Linked DNA regions of Daphnia pulex. The protein of the gene in region 1 purifies or fractionates together with the protein of each later gene. This does not show direct contact. Links are inferred from orthologs where the notes say so. Each region holds a gene or a part of one and is shown on either strand. Other genes may lie near its edges.

What was found. Proteins that work in one complex are often made in the same cells at the same time.
Region 2: the proteins of serrate RNA effector molecule homolog (region 1) and zinc finger CCCH domain-containing protein 18-like purify together in Homo sapiens (co-immunoprecipitation; 4 studies listed by BioGRID and IntAct, counting the BioPlex papers as one, with this or other methods). This does not show direct contact. The link is inferred for Daphnia pulex from reciprocal best matches to the Homo sapiens genes SRRT and ZC3H18.

The regions. Positions count from the first base shown.
Region 1 is NC_060024.1:618,547-622,505, reverse strand, and holds the start of serrate RNA effector molecule homolog, read right to left. Parts: upstream 2,833-3,959; 5' UTR 2,675-2,832; exon of another isoform or gene 2,558-2,674; intron 2,412-2,557; 5' UTR 2,384-2,411; coding exon 2,247-2,383; intron 2,188-2,246; coding exon 2,026-2,187; intron 1,968-2,025; coding exon 1,845-1,967; intron 1,775-1,844; coding exon 1,604-1,774; intron 1,044-1,603; coding exon 977-1,043; intron 918-976; coding exon 738-917; intron 666-737; coding exon 518-665; intron 451-517; coding exon 128-450; intron 62-127; coding exon 1-61. Other genes in the region: uncharacterized protein R102.4-like, read left to right, coding at 3,465-3,670, 3,778-3,922. UniProt on the Homo sapiens protein: Acts as a mediator between the cap-binding complex (CBC) and the primary microRNAs (miRNAs) processing machinery during cell proliferation.
Region 2 is NC_060020.1:4,875,983-4,879,582, forward strand, and holds the start of zinc finger CCCH domain-containing protein 18-like, read left to right. Parts: upstream 1-1,345; 5' UTR 1,346-1,488; coding exon 1,489-2,177; intron 2,178-2,233; coding exon 2,234-2,429; intron 2,430-2,497; coding exon 2,498-2,572; intron 2,573-2,639; coding exon 2,640-2,791; intron 2,792-2,864; coding exon 2,865-3,170; intron 3,171-3,254; coding exon 3,255-3,600. Other genes in the region: trehalase-like, read right to left, coding at 1-116, 276-616, 682-764.

The DNA of each region.
Region 1 (3,959 bases):
TGCGTTCTGGCTGAGGATCAGCAATAGCAGCACGTAAAAATCCAGGATACCGTTTGCACATCTTCATTAAACAAAGCTAAAGATTAGAAAACTGAATCTAACAAAAAAAATTAGAAACTCTCATTACCGCTTCGACTTCCAGTTTGGTAATGGTAGGTGCCAAATTACGGAGAAATATGGAGGCAGTCCGATGCAATTCTCGGGGAAGAACTGGCCCGCCATTTTCCTTTTTTTCTTCCTCCTTGCTTTCATCTTCATCAACTTTTTCTTTGGCATCATCTTTTACTGGAATTTCATCAGCTGCTTCGGTTTCCCTAGGACTACCCTCACCACCAGCTGGCTTACCATCAGGGCTTTGAGGAGCTTCAGATATTTCCGATTGTTCCTTTCCTTCCCGCTCCCAGTCGCTTCCACTATCCGATTCAAATCCGCTTCGTTTTCTTTTGCCACCTATAAAATAAATATAAAAAATACTGGTAAGGCAGTGCGTCAAAAATTAATAACAATGAATTCCTACTGTTATTAGGACTTTTTGGGTCAGAGCTAATTTCCATTTTGGAGTCCTCGATCACACCATCTTCTTTAGCATCGTCGCCTTCGCCCAAATCATCATTTTCTTTATCTTCAATCTCCTTGATAACCTTCTCTTGGATTTTAATAGGCTGCTTCAATTATGAAAGTGAAATGATTTTTAAAAAATCAGTTATAACCAATTAAAGGAAATTAAATAGACAAACCTTATCGGCGGTTGGTTGAGGAGGGTTGTCAAGGACCTGAAGATCTAACTCATTCCCACCTTCGAGTTTAATTACCACGGTGTCAAGAAGTTTTACTAGCTTTTCTGACTGATCCGCATCGATAGTCACTTGATCAAAAGAACCCTCAGCCATTAAATCCAAAATAGTTTTCATGCGTAACTATATTGAATTAATTGATTAGTTACAACCAGAATCTGTCAAAATTAGAGACAACTTACTTCAATATGAGCTTTATGCTCGTTCTTCCGTTTTTGATTCTCTTCCGGGTGATATTTCAACTTAAACCTACATTCGTTCGAGGAAAATATAATAAAACAAATTAGTAACAGAATTAATGTTGAAAACTTCGAATTAAAATAACCAGCTAGGGACCACACTTTTCAAGAGGCCAAGATTTCCCTCACCTGTTCTCCCGGTACGGATTTTTTATAACCTAGCTACTAACTGACCACTGCATTGCGCGCAGTTGAACCCTACTCTAACGCACACTTTGGAGATCTGTTCATTTCATGTTCACACAGTTAAAAAATTGATTTTCAAGTAGCTTTTGACAGATGGTATGGCACCTTATAGAAAGGTCGGAGATGGTTGAAATAAACGGAGGGACGTCAATAGCAGCTATGTCAATCGGCTGAAAAACAGGGGGGATTAAATATATGTAAATTGGTTATCCGAAATCCGATTACACGCGGCAAAACTTATAAATAATTTAGTTACCAGAAAAATTCAATGCAATACACAACACACAAGTCTTTAAAAGAAAACTTATAAGAAATTCTTAAAATATTGATTAAATTTGATATTAACACTTGTAAAAACAAGAAAAAAAACAAGCAAAAACATACCACTCTTCATCCTTGTGGCTTGTGAAAAATTCATTCAGCTGCTGACGACGAAATTCTAGCTTGTACTCGGCATACTTTTTAACTGCTTCTTCGTCAGAGATTGAATCATCGTGGGCAGCCAGAAAAGCTTTAAAGGACATCATTGGTGGTTGAGTAGGAAATTCTTCCCCTCTGGAAAATCAGGCATTATTTATTATTATTATTAACCCTACACAACTAACAATTACCATAAAAACATTACCTTGAAGAAGATCCACTAAAGTTTCCAGCGTTTGGTGGAGTATTAATGACTGGTTCATTCTGACCCCATGAAGAGCCAATGTTGGGCCCATAACCAGCATCAAATCCATAGCGCCTGTCTTCCCTAAAACCATTTTACAAGATTAATAAATGGCAGCATAATATTAGTATGAAAAACATACCAGTCAGGCCTCATCCTTTTTGGAGCTTGTGGTGCATCATACCCACCTGCTGGGCTGTATCTTTCACGACCTCTGTAAGATTCGCGATATTCGTGACGTGGTTGAGAACGAGACCCTCTTTGAGACCAAGATTCACCTCTTCTCGGTTCCATGATGCCTCTACTTTGAAACATGCATTGGACTAAACAGCTTAAAAATAACAGAGCATTTGTCAAACCAACCTATCATTCCACTCTTCTCTCCTAGGATTGCCTCTTTCTTCTCTCCTTCCAGATTCTCCAGCTCCCCGGTACTCACTTCGTTCTCCTCTAAACTTATCCCTTCTGCGACGATCATAATCATCATCACTGTCCCCCATGGTACAGGTTGGTGACCTACTTCTTAAGCTATGGAGAAAAAAAAGAGGAAACTTTAGTTTAATGTTTTATAATATTAAGCATCAATTAATCAACTAATAAGTAAAAGTACTGCCAACTAAGTGGCAATATGGCCGAAAATGCAGATGATTTTTGATAAGAACAATTCGATGTACCGGCATACTCAAATACCAACGCAAGTAAAATAAAAAACTTAATTTCACACACAAAGTTACAGAACTCGCTATAAAACTATTGATGTTCATAAATTTCATATCTTCTTCGAACTTTACCCAAATTTGCGTTTAGTTTGATTTCGCCACGCGATCAGAAGAAAACTGAGAACGCCGTTGCCCGTTGGTGCCAACGAAAGTTTGAGGAATACAAGTGCTGTCGCCTGCAGGGTAAAACTGTTACTGCCTTATGATTTGAATAATCAGTAACTGAAGAACATGGCTTGGGCTGAGAGACAACTGACAAGCGACATAGGCTAAGGCCGCTAAGCGCTAAGCTAGTTAATTTCTTGTAATAACTAATAAGATAACAAAAAAATATATTTTCACCAATGTTTTTTTCTAATAATTGGATCATTTATGAATTAAACTTCTAATGTACCTAGTAAGAAAGTAGTCTTAAAGATTTTTTTATTAACACCATTGGCAAAAGCAAGATTCAACTAGCTATTACATTCTATTATTTATTTTGTATTTGTTATGAATTTTATATTTTAATCCTAATTATAGCTTTAATTGATCTAATGATAAATTAAATTGTCGTGGCGCCACATGCTAGGCTAAACCATCGCACCGTTCGTAGTGTGTACACATGCCGATCCCTTGCTTCGCGCGCGAGTTTCCCGATAGGGTGTTTTTTTCACGGGGTTTAGGTTTTTTGGGGGGAATTTGTCAATATTTCCACCAATCATCAATTTCTCATTTTTCCACCAATCAACAATTTCTCATGAATCATTTTAATGGCATTAAAATAGATCATGAATGTGGAGAGAACCCTTATGATGCAGTGTCATTTGCTGTGAAATCGGCCCTTTATGCAACATAAATTCCATCTATTAAAATATCAACCATGGATGGATATCAACATGAACTGGAGGTATTCAATAACACTCATACTCAGGCTCATCGTTGTCGAAAAGCACTTGGAGGAGGAATGCGGCAGGCGGGTATTTTGGCCGCAGCCGGAATTTTGTCACTTTCAAAGGGACCTACCAGGGTAGCTCAAGATCATATTTTCACCAAACAATTGGTCAATTGGCTGTTACTGCGCAAGAGGTTGGAAAAAGCGTTGTGGAAGTTGATCGATATACCGTAGAGACGAATATGGTTATGCTAAAAGTCGAGCCCATATCAGGTGCTACCCCTAATTCAATTGTGAAAAGATTTGCTGAATCTACTGAAAAGGAAGTTCACGGGATCGGTCAAGATATTCGTTGGCTTGCTTACCCGATGACTGAAACGAACATCATAATTGTTGTTCACTGCAGTAACCCACCTGAAGACATCAATCTCGCTCAAGACAAATAAGGGTATGTTTTTGATGAAATCAATCAAAGTAACGCTG
Region 2 (3,600 bases), on another chromosome or scaffold:
TTTTACGATCCAATAAGAATCCCAGTAATAGGATTCTCTGAATCTTCCACCGGGAACAATAAATGGATTCGGAACATATACAATGGAGTATAAATCAGGATTATCACGAACGTCGTCTAGAATTACAACACAGAGCCCATAGTCCAAGCAGTGAAAGAGAGAACACCAGCAAAGAATAGAAATTTAAAATATGATTCTCTTATCTGGCGGAAAGAAAACTGGACTGCAATTTAAGGAAATCAATAAAACCATAATGTTTCTTTTTAGACCATCACCTTTTATCTGTCGCCCGAGAGATTTCCATCCTTCATGAAGACGATTCCCCCAATTGCGGAACTCTGAATTATTAATTTGAGATAGAAATGGAGGATCACTGATCCAGTCCGATGGATCCCAATTCTGGAATTCCAATCCTTCAGCTTCAAAATTGCTGTCAACAAATGCCTGTAATTCTTCTTTGGTTGGCTGGTTTTCAGTGTCGGTCATGAACTGTGAGAAACTAGTTAAGACTATTTCTGGATTAAAACGCAATTTTTTATCCACAAAAGTTTTGGAATCTTTGTATAACTCCGCGTTTTGGACAGCATGCAGCAGGGGTCCATAGCAATAAATTTCGCTAAAATTAAAACGTAATTCTGGTAATTAAGCAATTTCATTGTTAGATTACAGAAATTTTCTTGCCTGGGGCAGGGTGGTGGCAGTTGAAAAGTTGAAGTTGAAAAGGTCCAAGCAATTATTGCTAAAACGGTAATTAATCGAGACATTCAATAATATGAATTTTAAATGTTTTGCTTAAAAAAGAATGTAAAATGTTTGAGAGAGGTTAAGCATGGAGCTAAACATGCAATGGGCCAATGACTAAACGAAAACGAATCAAGTGACTAAACGAAAATTATGTTTCGTAATCAAAAGGCTACGATAGATCAAAAACTTATCAGTCTTGTTTTTGTCAATATTTTCAGGTCAGATAACTCTACGATTGATTGAACATTGGAAGTTTTGAACCCGTCCACCGAAACTTAAAAAATAAATGATAACTCATGTTGACGAAAGCAGAAAACTCTTTCGTTGAGTATTGACTCAACTTAAATGGCTAATGATAAAAGCGCAAATCCGCTATCCGCATGATTTCAAACCTTTCTTTTGTGCGCGCACAATTGTTTCAGCGTTGCCAAAAATAAAAAAATTTAGTACCTTATTATTTTCCAGTTTCAACTCTTTGAGTGAACCAAATCTAAAAAAAATAGTTAAAAAAATTTAAATACTTTCAAATAGTTTGCGTCTGACTATAGAATAGATGATAAATGTATTGAAATGTTCAAAATTTAATTGGCATCATATATTATAAACAGCCGACAAAAAACGGGGCTGTCATGGCGGCTTAGTTGCAAGCCAGGTTGTTTGGATTTTTGGTAGTTTTTCCCAGTTTGTTGGCTAAAGTTAGTAATTGATGGTTACCACTGTTGTTTAACGTATATTAGTAAAAGAATGAGTCAAAGCGGTTTAAGTGCTCCAGCAAGCCCGGATCCTGACTTGTCTGGAACCAGTTCAAGCATAATCGAAGGACAGTTGTATACGAATTCGCGTCCGGAAAGCCGAAGCAGCATTAGCAGCAACTCCATGGTTGATCAGGACCAAGCCGCTGAATCCAGTCGTCTGAGTTCAAACGTAGATGAAATTGATAGAAAATCTGATAGTGGAGAAGTGATTGGGCTTGATGAAAATGCCCAATCAGGTGGCTTGCTGGATGAACATAAACAAGAGTTAATGGCTTCAGATTCAAGCAAAGAAGATGAGGATAGTCTTGAAATGGTATCAGATGATGAAATGGAAGCTAACGAAAACTGCAAAGATTCATCTAGTAAAAAATCTCCTCAAATTTTGGATCCATTGATTAAAGACACTGAATTAGACTTTGAAGAAGATAATCTTGAAGAAGAGCCCAAAAAGCCGATTGAAGACAGAAAGCCTGAAAAAGATGACGAAGATGGAGAATGTGATGGAGAGAAGCCACAGAGAGAAAAGGAAGCAAGTGAAGAAGAACTAGAGGAAGGTGAAGAGTTGGAAGAAGGTGAAGTTAGCAGCGAAGAAGATGTTGGCAAACATGCACGCATGGAACCTAGGCCTGTTTGTAGATTTTACAGTAAAGGCAATTGTACTTGGGGTAATAATTGCAGGTAAGAACTAGTATTTTTCTTTTTTTGAAAGAAAAAGTATTGATATTGTTTTACAGATTTGTTCATCCTGGAGTATTAGACAAGGGAAATTACAATATGTTTGCTCCTGCACGTCCATCTGCCCATAACGGGCCTTCAGCACCCTACGAAAGACCTTTTGATCGACCACCGGTGGTTCCACTCATCCCGCCAGCAGAGTGGGCAAATTCTCAGCCAAGGGTCGCTAATCCTCGACCTCCACGACATCCACAGGTACACGGTTACTTACTTTCAGCTAAGTCAATTTTCGTTATTTGAGAAACTTCATTTCTGAATTGTAGCCGGCCGAGCCACCTCGGACTGATGCAACCGGTGCTGAATCACCTTGGGAAAGAGGACTGAGACAAGCCAAAGAGGTATGAGACAATGCCGTGATTATTTAAGTTTATTGCTATGGGTTCATAATAAACGTTTTCTTTACAGATGCTCAAAAAGTCCAGTCATCGTAAAGAAACTGACATTGACTTCGAAGAAAAAAAACTAAATTTAGGTTTAGGTGAGGAAGAATTGGACAAAGAGAATGACTACTACACTCGACCTGCTAGTCCAGTTTTACATGGAGACGTCCCTCCTCCGTAAGTTAAATCGCACTGCATTAAAATCTGTTTAAGAGTTAAATAGGATCTGTTAATTTTTTTACTCCTCTAGATTTGAAGAGCCAGATACAGAACCATACCATAAATTTTTACCTCCATCAGCTGAAGGGCGATGGCCTCCGTCACGCTACCCGCCTCCTCACCGCCACCCCCCACCTGGTTACCCTTATCCGTACGAAGGCCGGCGACCTTACCCACCAGAATCAGAGTATAGAGAAAGGGAATACTATCATCCGGAAGGATATGAGCGTCCGCACTACTACGGTCCAAAACCAAGTGAACGAGATATCCATCCATCTGCCAGTAAATCCCAACCTCAACTTCCTCCCCCTCACGAAAAAAGATGGTCTGATGAGAGGTCAGTTTTAATTGATGCAATGTGACTGCGTCTGTAGAACCAAAACAAAATCCTTTATTGAACCTTTTAAATTGTTCAATATAGATACGTGGAAGTTGTGCCTCCAGCTCAGCGTGGACGTAGTGATGAATGGTGGGATCCGTGGATGAGATCAAGATCTCCTGGTGGTGCTGGAGGCGGAGGTGCTGCTGGTGGTGGTCCATCTTCAAGTGCAGTCGTTGGCGCCGGAGGAAATTCGGCTGGAGCTAAAGGTTCTAGACGACGTAGCTATTCGTCTGGGTCATCTTTTTCAACATCGTCGTCGACATCGAGCTCAAGTTCGAGTTCATACTCGAGCTCAAGCAGTCGTTCCAGTCGTTCCAGTGCTAGCTCACGTTCCACTTCAAAATCTAAATCAATGAATGTAAAACGACGGCAAGGACGGAAGGCA